2 linked regions of the Drosophila melanogaster genome follow. The gene in region 1 interacts genetically with each later gene. Each region holds a gene or a part of one and is shown on either strand. Other genes may lie near its edges.

The links.
Region 2: of CBP (region 1) and Pka-R1, changing one enhances a phenotype caused by changing the other (phenotypic enhancement), as found in Drosophila melanogaster (one study listed by BioGRID).

The regions. Positions count from the first base shown.
Region 1 is NC_004354.4:7,335,796-7,343,236, reverse strand, and holds CBP (sarcoplasmic calcium-binding protein), read right to left. Parts: upstream 5,886-7,441; 5' UTR 5,522-5,885; coding exon 5,381-5,521; exon of another isoform or gene 4,987-5,380; intron 2,934-4,986; coding exon 2,721-2,933; intron 2,043-2,720; coding exon 1,734-2,042; intron 1,664-1,733; coding exon 1,430-1,663; coding exon of another isoform or gene 671-1,429; 3' UTR 506-670; downstream 1-505.
Region 2 is NT_037436.4:20,817,358-20,822,010, reverse strand, and holds the start of Pka-R1 (protein kinase, cAMP-dependent, regulatory subunit type 1), read right to left. Parts: upstream 3,047-4,653; 5' UTR 2,977-3,046; coding exon 2,542-2,976; intron 1,681-2,541; exon of another isoform or gene 1,288-1,680; coding exon of another isoform or gene 1,285-1,287; intron 1-1,284. Other genes in the region: Mst77F (Male-specific transcript 77F), read left to right, coding at 4,133-4,414, 4,477-4,653.

The DNA of each region.
Region 1 (7,441 bases):
ATGTTACAACAAAATATGACACACCACTTATATGATGGAGATATATATTTATTCCTAGCATTTCATTAAAGTGTATAGTCTTTTAAAAATGTAGAGTAGAGTATTGGAAAAGTAGCTCAACCCGTCTTCTATTTTAGGTAACATTTTTTGTAGACTCGCAACATCCAGCTAAACACTTTTCAGTTGATATCGCAAATCCTTTTCGCTGGCGCTTACATAATGATATGTGGCCGCAGATGCCAAGGGAGGGAACATTTAAAAAAAATGCATTTAAAAATAAAATGAGAAGGAAGTAGCGTCTGCTGTTTGCCTTTCTCCATTGAATATTGAGAATATGAATTAAATATAAACCTGCAGCAGGATAATCATAAGCAAATCACTATATGCAATTAGGGAAATAGTTTAAACATAATAAACTAAAATCTATAAGTGGACAGAGTCGCAAAGATTTAGGAAAACCATTTTTGATCGCTTGATCACCCAATAATTGAAAATATATGCTCGTATTATTTATAGTATATTTAAAAATCATTTTTATTCCGTTATATCATGCTTGCTGTATTGTGTAATATATCAGTTAAACATAACTCTTAACTAGACAAAAAAAAAATAATCGATTATATGGTAAATAGGGTGACCGTGAATAGTATGTAGCTCCACTTTTCAGAGTTTATAAATGGTGCATTTGATCCTCGACCAGCTTTTTGGGCCTTCTCTTGCGGCGTTTTCTTGCCTTTCGTCGTAGGCGATCGAATTTCCGGATCCGGTCGCAAATGAAATGCTTGAGGTCATCGCCCTCGGCGGCCGATTGACGACTGCACGACATTGTGAATATTATTAGCGAGTTAAGGTAGACAAAAAATCTTATATCGTAGTCATCTAATGATGGTTTGCCCTTGGTTCGATGATTATTATTATTATTATCTTTCTGTCGGTCTTCCCTTTCCCGTTCCCGTTCCTTTTGATAATTACTAAAGTTGTGCTTGCGCAACTTGGAGGCGGGATACGTAGTGGGCGATGGATGGGGCTCAAAGGTCGAGCGCTGGCGCTTCGAACTGGACAAGTGTTGCCGAAAATAATCGTAAATGCTCATGTTCCTTATAACGATCGTGGTGGTGTTGCTAATGTTTATTAACGGTCCCGATTTATGAGGCGCCACATGCTGTAGATTTAGCCAACTGCCGCCTGCCGCCTGCACGCGAGTTGGCAACGAAGTGGCCACTATCTTATTGTAATTGTTATTGGCCAACATCGTTGTCGTATTCAATGTATAATGTAGCATTGGCTCATTGGTGTTATTGTTGCCGATGTTATGGCATCGGACGTTGTTGTGTTGATGGTTCTGATAATCTTGATTGTAGTAAGGATTTTTTTGTTGGGTTATTGTTGATTTGGTTGTATTGTAATCTACAGCAGTGACTGCAACCCGTCAATGATCAGCGACCAGCGGTCCCCAGAACATTTTCGATATCTTCGAGTCGTCCTCGGTTAAAAAGAACTGACGGCCCAAATGCACAAACTCCTTGAGCGACAATTGGCCATCGCCGTTCTTGTCTATCACAGCGAATGAAACGGCAGCATCGTCTTCGGTCAGTCCCAGACAACGGAAGAAGAGCTTGTATTGTTCGAGATCCAAATGGCCAGTGTGATCAAAGTCCACAGCCTAAGAAAAAAAAAACCGGAAAAATTATTTTTCTGTTTATCGATAATAGCAACTTAACAATGAAACTAACCTTAAACAAGTAGGGCAGGAAGCGACCGATGCGTTTGGCCATCTTCTTGTCGTTGAGACGATGGTGCAGATCGGTGAGGAACTGCTCGGCAGTTACCAGATTGTATGGGGTTATCTCCCCGAACTGCTCTTCCCAAGTATGCTTGATCACATCGTTGAATTCGGCAGCGACCTCTGGGGTCAAATGGCCCAGATCGCTAAAGCGTTTGGCCAGCAAACTAAAGTCGTCGAAGGACACGACGCCGTCGTGATTAACGTCCAAAATGCGGTGGAGAGTACGCATTTTGCGGCGCCAGAATGCTGAGTCGCCCTAAAAATGAGGAAAAATATACATATTAATTGGTTTGCCTTGCGATTTTATTTTAAATTTTAATTATATTTGATTTAAAACATTCACAGGGCGTGCTAAAAGCTTCTTAAACTCTAAAGCTCATTGCAATTCTGCAACCAAGCCTTTTGCTCTTTTCAAACTTTAAAAGGACTTGAAAAGTAAAAGCTTGAAAGCTTTGCAGGACTTGACTGTCCTTATTAAAATGCTTTTATTAACATCAGCTTATCTCATAGACGCGCAGCGACTGCTTGTGAGCTTTTAGAAGCTTTAACCAAAAGGCTTTGAAAGGACTTTAAGGAACTGCTTGATGGCAAGTATAGTCAGGATACAAGCAACTGCTTTAAGCTTCAATTCGCTTTTTTTGAGAAAGCTAAGATTTCGTATTAATAACCAAACAACAAAGCTTTGATCTTAAAACAGTCTGCACTCAAACCAGTTACTACTGTTAAATGGCCACTGTTAACCAGGTTACAATGTTGGACTATTTTTTAAATGCCGTAGAGCAGGTTCAAAAAACGACATTGAGCACGATAAACAAATTTCGAAACACGTTTCTCGGCCTGTCGAGCAAACACAATTGAAATTTCTCAGCCACGTGGACCGTGTGTTTTATGGATCTATTTAATGGATTATGCATTTCTCAAGCAGTTCACTCACCCGTTCGCTGCGCTTGGAATCCATTTTCTGGCGACGACGCTCGAACTCATCATCCGAGTCGGAATCGCTATCACTTTCCACCTCCCGTCGCAATTTGGCCGCTCCGGCCTTCTTTGAATATTGACGGACAGCCTGGACCACGGCAGTTGGCATTTGATGCCAAAGCAGTGAATGTGCTCCATGTCCACAGATAATGCCGCCAGATGCCAGGCGCTGAAATCAGAAAAAAAAAGGAAATTAGAAAAATGTGAAAATGCAAAATGTATTGGATAAGTTTCTCTATCATAATAATCATTTTGATTGTGCTTTAAAAAAAGAGATGCTAACGTGTCATTAATAATGTTACGCAATCATTATGCTATTGTTTTGTATTGTTTTTGTGTATATTTCGGTTTTCACAGCCCCATGCTGAATGCTCTTTTTGTTGTTGATATGGTTGCTAGACGCCCTTCGGTGTGTAAGCAATCATTATGTTTTTAATTACAACTCAGCGCACTGCTGTTTTCCTGTGTTGTTTTTGTTGTGCGTGTTATTTTCTCATTGTTAAGGTCAGTTCTGTTTACTCACAAAACAATTCTAAACCTGATTCGTCGTTATCTGTTTTTTTTTACGAGTTTTCCATCTTTGGTTCGCCTTAAAAGTGCCAAAGAGTGACTGTCAAAATGTATCTCAAAAAACTCGGTCTACAGTTTGAGAGGCGCTTGGTAATGGTAAAAAACCACGTGGCGATCATGTATGTAACGAATTTAAAAGAAGAAATTGTAAACCAGCAGGAAAATAGCTTCCAATATATATAAAATATATGTAAATATAGGACACGGTATTTTACACATATATAATACATTCAATGTCCTTTGCTGCCAACATTGCAACTTTGAAAATTAAAAAAGATAAATATTGATGCCAATAACCAGTTCGGAGAAAGGTTTTTTCCATCACCTGTGCCATTAGGAAAAGATAAAAAACAAAATTCGCTACTCTTTTAATTACAAGAAACCGAATTCTCTTGTAAACGTTTTGAATTTCAATGGCTCTCGATAAGAAAGAATCCAAGTACAGATGTTGCCAGCCACCGACGACGATGATATCATGCATCATACCATATAACATTATCATAAAGCCCGCACACTTATTGTATTGGACTGACTGCTTTGGGACCTTTTTTCGGTTCCAGTTGCTTCGTTTGGTTAAACGAACTTTGGATTGTTTCTGTTTTTCGGTGTTTTTTTTTTCGTAAACAAGTTTCTCCAAAATACGAATTAATGAATGCAAAAAACGGGCCTCCTTTCATTTGAATGTCTGCGCGTCTCGAAAATAAAGAGAAACACGTTTCGACCATAAGAAAATTAAACAAAAAACAATGCCAATGATTTATATGTGGAAGATGCAGAGAGTAAGAAGACGGCAAATAAAAATCAAAGTCGAGCAACAGGTCAATGTTAATTTAGCAGCAAACAAGAAGTAGAAAAATTGCGAATAAAATCACTTTAATCATTTCCTGTGATTCTAAAACTTCTTTTTCCGTGGCGGTTAGAGAAAAAGTAAAGGGAGGTGGGGTACTTTTGTTGTTATAATTTCCAATGCTTTTGCGCAAGATTTTCCTGCTACAGAATTTGCGCAGTTTTCCGACTTTCAAAATGAGGGGGTTGTTGTCGGTGAGAAGGGAAAACAAGCTTTCACCTGAATACACGGTGAAAAATACCAGTAAGTATTAATATTGGCTTAGCTGGTTAAATTAATGTATGTTGTGTCAACATAATATCATAAATTTCGTTTCAAAACCGAAACTTTTATGCAAATACTATTGGACGGTATTTTTAAAGCTAACAACATAGGAGTAAGATGAAACATGTTTATATATTAACTGAACTATTTTGTTGAATCTATTGATTCAATACCAACATTTCTTTGTGTGTAATTTCCACTTGTTTATCTTACTGTATCTTGTTTTATTTGTTTCATTGAGGGATATGCCTCTTTCGGCGCCGGGTTTTCAATTTCTTATTGATTGATTGAAGTGCTGCGCCCTTTAATGATTGATGTGCAAGAAATTTGCCAGCACCTAAACGTATTTTATAGTTAATCATCAATTGAAACCAAAAATCAGCAATATATAATGCTGCTGCTAACAACAATAAATTAATAATGCGGGAATGAAAAGTTAATAAAAATTAGAGAATTAATAATCCCAAACTCTCTTGTATTGCTAGAATTATAGTTGGGAATATCTATTAATATTAATCAAGAATTGAACTCGAGTTCTTACAGTTTCGAATGCACTGCTACAGTTTACTTAGCACTGGCCTCGTTTCGTGAACATTCCCGCTCCCAATTTTCATTCTCCACTTCCCTTGCTTGTCTGTATTCACCCCTCTTCCTCACTATTTACAGTTCTCCTTCCACCACTTACTGTTTTTCGAATTGCGATTCTATTTTTCTGCTTTGTTTTGAGTTTATATCATGCGGAACTGCTTTTTGGTTGGAACATCTTTTGTGGAACTGGTTTTAAACTCTTTATTTTATAACTGTTGCTTTTAAGTTTGTTTTAGGAACTGCTCTTTCCTGTCCGCTTTGTGATGCTAAGTTTTTCTAACTGCTTGTTTCTGTCAATTCAATTAGTAACCTTAACTACAATGCACTGAAAGAAAAGATGCACTTACGTGACAATCGCTGTGCGAAATGGGCGTGTTTGGGGGCGGGGAGGCATTCTGCTGCAGAACGCCGACAGTTGCGGCCATGTTGCGTTCCAGAATTTCTCTTGAAGTGCGCAAAATACCACGGCTCACGATGGAGAATGCCATTTTGTTTTTCGCTCAAGTTTTAACCTCGGTTTTCTTAAATTTTTCCTCAATTTTCGCTACGTTTTCCTTACAGTTTGAACTGCACTCGAGAAAATGTGCAACGTTGCTTTTTTTTAGGGATTTTGTTGTTGAACTCTTGTTATTATTTCGATTGCAACGCGCATTTAACAACCGGTTTTTTCGAAGATGCACCACAAAAAAATGTTTGCCTTTATTTTTCTGCTTTGTTTTGTTACACTTTGTTTTTGAGTCCGCTAATTTCTATTTTGATTTCTCTGTGGTTTCAGTTTTTTTTTTTTTTGGATATCTTTGCTTGGGAGTAAACACAACCGTTCGCTTAAGCGTTCGAATTCGTTTTGAAAACCATCGCTGCGCAAAGAAAAGAAGTCGACGTCGACGCCTGTAAAAGCAGAGCGGTCTTTCTGAGTGTGTGTGAGCGGGAGTGCGCGTGTGTGTGTGTGGTTTTGTGTGATGAAGAGGGAGAGGACAGCATAAGAAGGGAGCAGGGAGAACAGCTGCTACTTGGAATGGTTACCACAAGCAGGCAGTACACACTATTGAAGCCAAAATATTAGTAGTTACATTTTCAAATGTTCACGAAATCAAACTTTGAGCTGCATTAATATACACATGCATATGTGTCGCAAGAATATTTTTGAATATGAGCGTTCCCAAATGTTAAAACCAGCTTTAAGAGATGCGGAGGAATTAGTATTTAAGTTTTTTAGTTCATATTTTTGCGCCCTTGGCTGTATATATGTAAGTACAAACACAAAGGCAAGACCATGTAAGCCGGTTGAAGAAGAAAATGGAGAGGAAGCAGGAGCACAAGAAGAAGCAAAAACAAACACAAAACCCAGTGATTGTCAAACCTCGCTTAAATGGAGAACTGTATTCGTTTTCAAAATAAAGCCCAAAGAAAATGCATTACATAAACATGGGATTACACACACATATACATACACGGACTACAGTTTTCCAATTGATAACGTAAACGAAGGAATCCAAAAACAAAAGCCAAAACTCAAAATGAAAATATCATAAAATGTGCGTATTTAGGTCGCTGCGTGTGACAAACTGTCGGTCCAATACAATATGCCCCAAGACACCCTTCCCCCCTCGCTACGCACTTCCCCGAAAAGTGCCCTCTACGCACACACATACAAATGAAGTAACACAAATACCTACGCACTAATAGTTTCTGTTTTTCCGTTGCTGTTCTACTTCATTGCTCCACAGCAAAACGCATGCTTACACCCACACGTGTGCGGTAAATATTATAGGATCATTACAACACTTTAAAACTAATAACATTAAAAGATCGTTTTCAGTTACATACCAATTAATTTCAAGCACTTGGCATTTTACCACCATTAAAGGTATCTTAAACTATTTTTTATAACCCAAATTGTCCAAAAGCATAATGCACTATGCTGATCATTCTTCGCAACGGAGCACTATTTCTAGTACCTTCACTGTGGACACCCATACATACACAGCTGTACATACGTGTAAGATTGTATAATAGTCTTGATCAAATAAGCGCCAGTGGACTTGGACCCAAAAAACATTGCATCGAAACGAAAACAAAAAAGAAACCATCGAAAAAATTAATAAGGGGGTAGTGATTCGGAATGGATATATCAGTGGCCGGCAAAAATTAAAGGGAATTATCAGCTCCACTAATTCCCTTTAATCTTGGTTCATTTTAATAGTTTTTACTGCCCATCAAGATCAATGCTTTCATAAATCCCCCATAGTTTTGCAAGCACTGGTTCCCCGCAAGAAGTGCAACACTTTACGTACAAAATAAAAAAAATCGAAGGCCCCCCACTTTACCGTTTCGAATGCGGCAAGCGGAGTGCACTGCACTCTGCGGAGGCAAAAACTTGAAAATACAGACGGAAAACCAAAACATGT
Region 2 (4,653 bases), on another chromosome or scaffold:
TTAGTTTTAAGAGTGGGCAAACGAAAAAAACAAATTTTAAAGGGTGGGCAAACGAAATAATTTATTTTTAAAGGGTGGGCAAACGTTAAAAATGAATTTTAAAGGATGGGCAAACGAAATTATTTAGTTTTAAAGAGCGCAGGGCAATCGAAATTATTTATTTTTAAATGGTGGGCAAACGTTTTTTATTGGAAATTTTTATTTTAAAGAGGTGGGCTAACGAAATTGGGTGTATTTTAAATGTGGGCAATCGAAAAAAAATTTTTGTTAAAGGTTTTTTAAAGGGTGGGCAAACGATAAAAACTAATAATAATGGTTGGGCAAACCTTTTTTGTTGATAATATTTGGTTTTAAGAGATGGGCAAACGATTTACTCTCTGATTAGACCGAGGTAAACTTAAAAGCCTTATATTTTCTAAAGTATAAATTTTTTCAAAATTCTAAAGGGTGGGCAAACGTGGGCAAACGATGTTATTGCGATTTAAAAAAAAAAATTTTGAAAAAAGCGAAATTTTTGATTTTCGAAAATTTTCGAACTTTTTCGAAAATTCATATCTCAAAAACTGGACGTGGGCAAAAAAAACTAATTGGTGGGCAAACATGGGCAAAAAATGGGCAAACGATTCCAGCTTTCAAATTTCAAAAATTCGATTTTTCCGACCCCAGCTTCTTTGAGCTCATAAATTGCTTTCATCGGACCCACTTAAAAATATCACAGAAATCGTTTTAATGCGATGCGAGTGCATAAAAAGGAAATAAAAGGTAGTAAAATAACAATTTAATCAAGTAAACAGAGCATAATTCGAGGCCATATTTCGGGGAAATTTTTCATTGGAATTGTATGTTAAATGCTTTGCGTTCTGGAAGGAAACAAACAGATTGGATAGAATACGAGTGTTGATTTCATTTAAAATTGTTGATTTTCATTAAAAAAAAATGTTGTCAATTTGTTTTTCCTCAAGGAGACTATTTATATAGCTTGGAAGAAAAATGTATCCAGTTATACCTTGATGGCAATTCGATAATCGGAAAGTAATATTACTATTAACAACTTTGAGTTCTAATAAATATCTAAAAATGAGAATTGTATACCTTTCAATGGGATAATATAGAAATATGAAGGAACGGAAGAAGAATGAATACTTGAATGTTAAAGATTAAGGATTCTTAAGCGTTAATGCAATGGGACCCTTTCTCTTCCTCACTATAAAAACGCTATTGAAACCAATTCTTTCCGAAATATTTACCAAGTTAACCGTATTTAACACTTCGAATTTTACCCACCATTTCGCTGGTCGAGTTCCTGTCACTTCCGCTTTGGCACTTTTCCAACCTCGTTTGGCCAACACAATTGATTGTTGTTTGTCTGTACTTTATGGCGGACACTGGGGACAAAGTGTCCGGCGTAGTTTTTGGCACGATTCCGCTGTTAATCAGAAGCCGGCGTAAACAGCGCCGGACGGAGCGATGACAGCCGTAAAAGCGGCATTAACACGACCGTTAAACCGGACAATTCGATGATCGGAGCAGCGGAATTCGCGTGGCCATCAATCAGGCAAGAAAGTCGAAAAGTAACGACCGCAAAAGGTGAATGGTAACTAGTAAATTGAGCAGTTAAGTTGGCGAAAAAACTAAAATTGGGAACAACGATGGGCAACTGACGGTGGCCAAAAAGTGACTGAGACAAACGAAAGGACGAAAGCAAACTCTAGCAGCCAGACACAAACACAATCTCGACGACGACAGGATGACCTTCACCAACACGCCCAGCGAAGGCAACCTTTCTATATATACACAAATATATACATACAAATACGACTGGCCAAAAAGTAAAGTTTTTCGCACACCCGCCCACCACCTCACACACATACACTCGCACTTGTGACGCAAGTCCTGGCAAAGGGAAAAGCTTTTACGGGAGAAAAGGGCCAGAAGTGCTAAAGGGAAAGCGAAGGGAGCGCTTTGATTTCGTTAGAATTCCCTTCGAGTTTCAAGTGCAAACTCGACATTTTGTCGCAAAAAGCAGCTCGTGGGGCATTATGAAATGCACTTTCTTTAAATTAGTATATAGTTTAGGTTACTATATTCTACTGTATCCCAAAAATTAACCCCTTTCCATTTACCTTTTTGCAAAAAATAAATTTATAATGTTTAAATAAAATGTGAACATTTTCTTCCTGTTCGTTCTTTTTCTTCAGATACGAAAGATATTTTGAAAGAATTAAAAGGCCTTAACGTAAAACATAGCAAACTTTTTCATATTTTATTAAATTTTTATATTCTAAGTAGGGTATTAGGTGCTCGCGGAATAAGGTAAACATTTTTTTGCATGTTTTTATTTGTGTTAGAACTAACGACATCGTGATTTGTAGTCACAAATCGAATCAACAAGACACCAATTTCAAACGATTCAAAGCTTTCTAGTATGCGCACACTCCCACACTTTAAATCTTTTTTCCGCCAAAAGCTTTTCAGCACAAATTCCTAGTGATTTCCTACTGTTTTCCGGAAATTGGAAACTTTTCCGACTTTCCAACTTACTTCGCGTTCCCGCTGGCGCTCAAGCTCAAGTTCCTGTTCACGTTCGCGGGCCAGAGTGGAGAGATGAATCTGCAGGCTGCGATCGCTGACGGCATCCTCCTCGGGAATTGTGGTGCAGGAGGTGCGAACATGCCGCATGCGATGCACTGCATCCAAGCTCAGCCGATGTTCGTGATCATCGCGGAGCAGAGCATCGAACATGGCCACCCCGCCATCGATGCTACTTTCGCGCAGGATGCGTCCGCCGCGTCCACTGCAATGGGGACTCTGCTGCTGATTCTGCTGATGCTGATGATGATGGTGGGTGGTGGCCACCACGCCCTCCGAAAACGAACGGATGCGCATGGCGCCGTTGGCATCGGTGGTCAAAGCCACCGAGCGGAAGCGATCGATGACCGCATCCTGGATGCTGTTCACACTCAACTGGTTGCCCATGGCGCGCGGAGGCAAACAAATAAAAAGCAAACGAACGGAGTGAACTAGGTGGAAGCAGGATGCTTCTGCACGGCGTCAGGATGCTAATCCAACTGACAGCGGGTCCGGCATTCAACAGGCAACTTGCCCCAGAGAGTCCGGCGCACACACACAGGCGTACTCAAAATCAAAGTTGGGAGAAAAAGGGGTAAGGAAAGTCGCTTGGCAAGTGAGAGGGGGAACAGGACGATGTGGAAAGGACCTCCACAGGTGCGCTGCTCTATTTACATTGCAGCATTGCAAGCTTTTGCTGCAGCCTGTCTCACAAAATAAACTTTAAAGCTTCACAATGAACAGAGGGAATACAGTTCTCCGAAGCAGGAAGCCGAAAATAAAGCATCCGTGCTGGGAAATCCACCTATGGATGGGTTTTTTTTTTAACAATCCGCTCGAAAATAGACCGCAAGTTGTATTGATTTTCGTTTAAGCGGCAGCATTAACCAGCAAAATGCCGCTTGTTGCTTACCAAGTGGTTGAAACCCCGGAAAGGAACGTAGTCGCACAGGATAATTTAAACACCTTCCCTCACCAACGACATTTCTGGTATTTCTTACATATTTTGTTCAGATTATAATATAACATTTAGTATTGCTTTTGTAAAATATTTGTTCATTTCATTTCATTGAAAACAAGGAAGTACGCTATTCTATTTCGTGAATATCAGATACGCGTTACTCAGCTAGTCGGATTGCAAACAGAATATTAAAACCTTTTTCAAGACACACGGACGGACGAATATGGCCAGCTCGACTGATACTGATCAAGAAACATTAAACATTTTCTCCTACAATATCTTGAACGAATATAGTATACAAAAATAACCATGGAAATATGGCGCCGATCTGCGAAATGTACTTTGAAAACAGCCAACTTGGTTTGAAAAAAGGAACTTTTTCTTGATCATAGTAGAATTGAGCCTTCATTCAAATCCAATTTCCAGGTCTCCACGCTGAAGCCAGCATACAAACAGTTAGTACACTACCTTTGAACGAGGAACAACTAAAATATTTCGATAAAATTGAGTACAGTTTTTTATACATATATAATTTTTTTTTGTATAATTCTGAGTAACAAATTTGTTTGTGAAAATTTCTGTCGAGCAAGAATTGGTTGCAAAATGAGTAATCTGAAACAAAAGGATAGCAAGCCGGAGGTGGCAGTAACAAAATCAGTGAAAACCTATAAAAAATCAATTGAATATGTTAATTCCGACGCCTCCGACATTGAAGAAGATATCAATAGGGCAGAGGACGAATACGCCTCATCGTCTGGCTTTGTTAATTTTCTGAGGGACTTTAAGAAGCGCTACGGAGAATATTACTCGAATAACGAGATAAGACGGGCTGCTGAAACCCGATGGAACGAAATGTCATTCCGTCATCGATGCCAGTATTCTGCGGTAAGTTAGGTGTCGAATACAAACGAAATGCACATGTATGCAATCGTAATGCACTTCCGCAGGAACCATTGGACACTTTTCATGTAGAGCCCAACAGTGTGAGCAGTCTTCAGCGTTCTAGTGAGGGCGAGCACAGAATGCACTCTGAAATAAGTGGCTGCGCAGACACTTTCTTCGGTGCCGGTGGCTCCAATAGCTGCACTCCAAGAAAGGAGAACAAGTGTTCCAAGCCCAGGGTG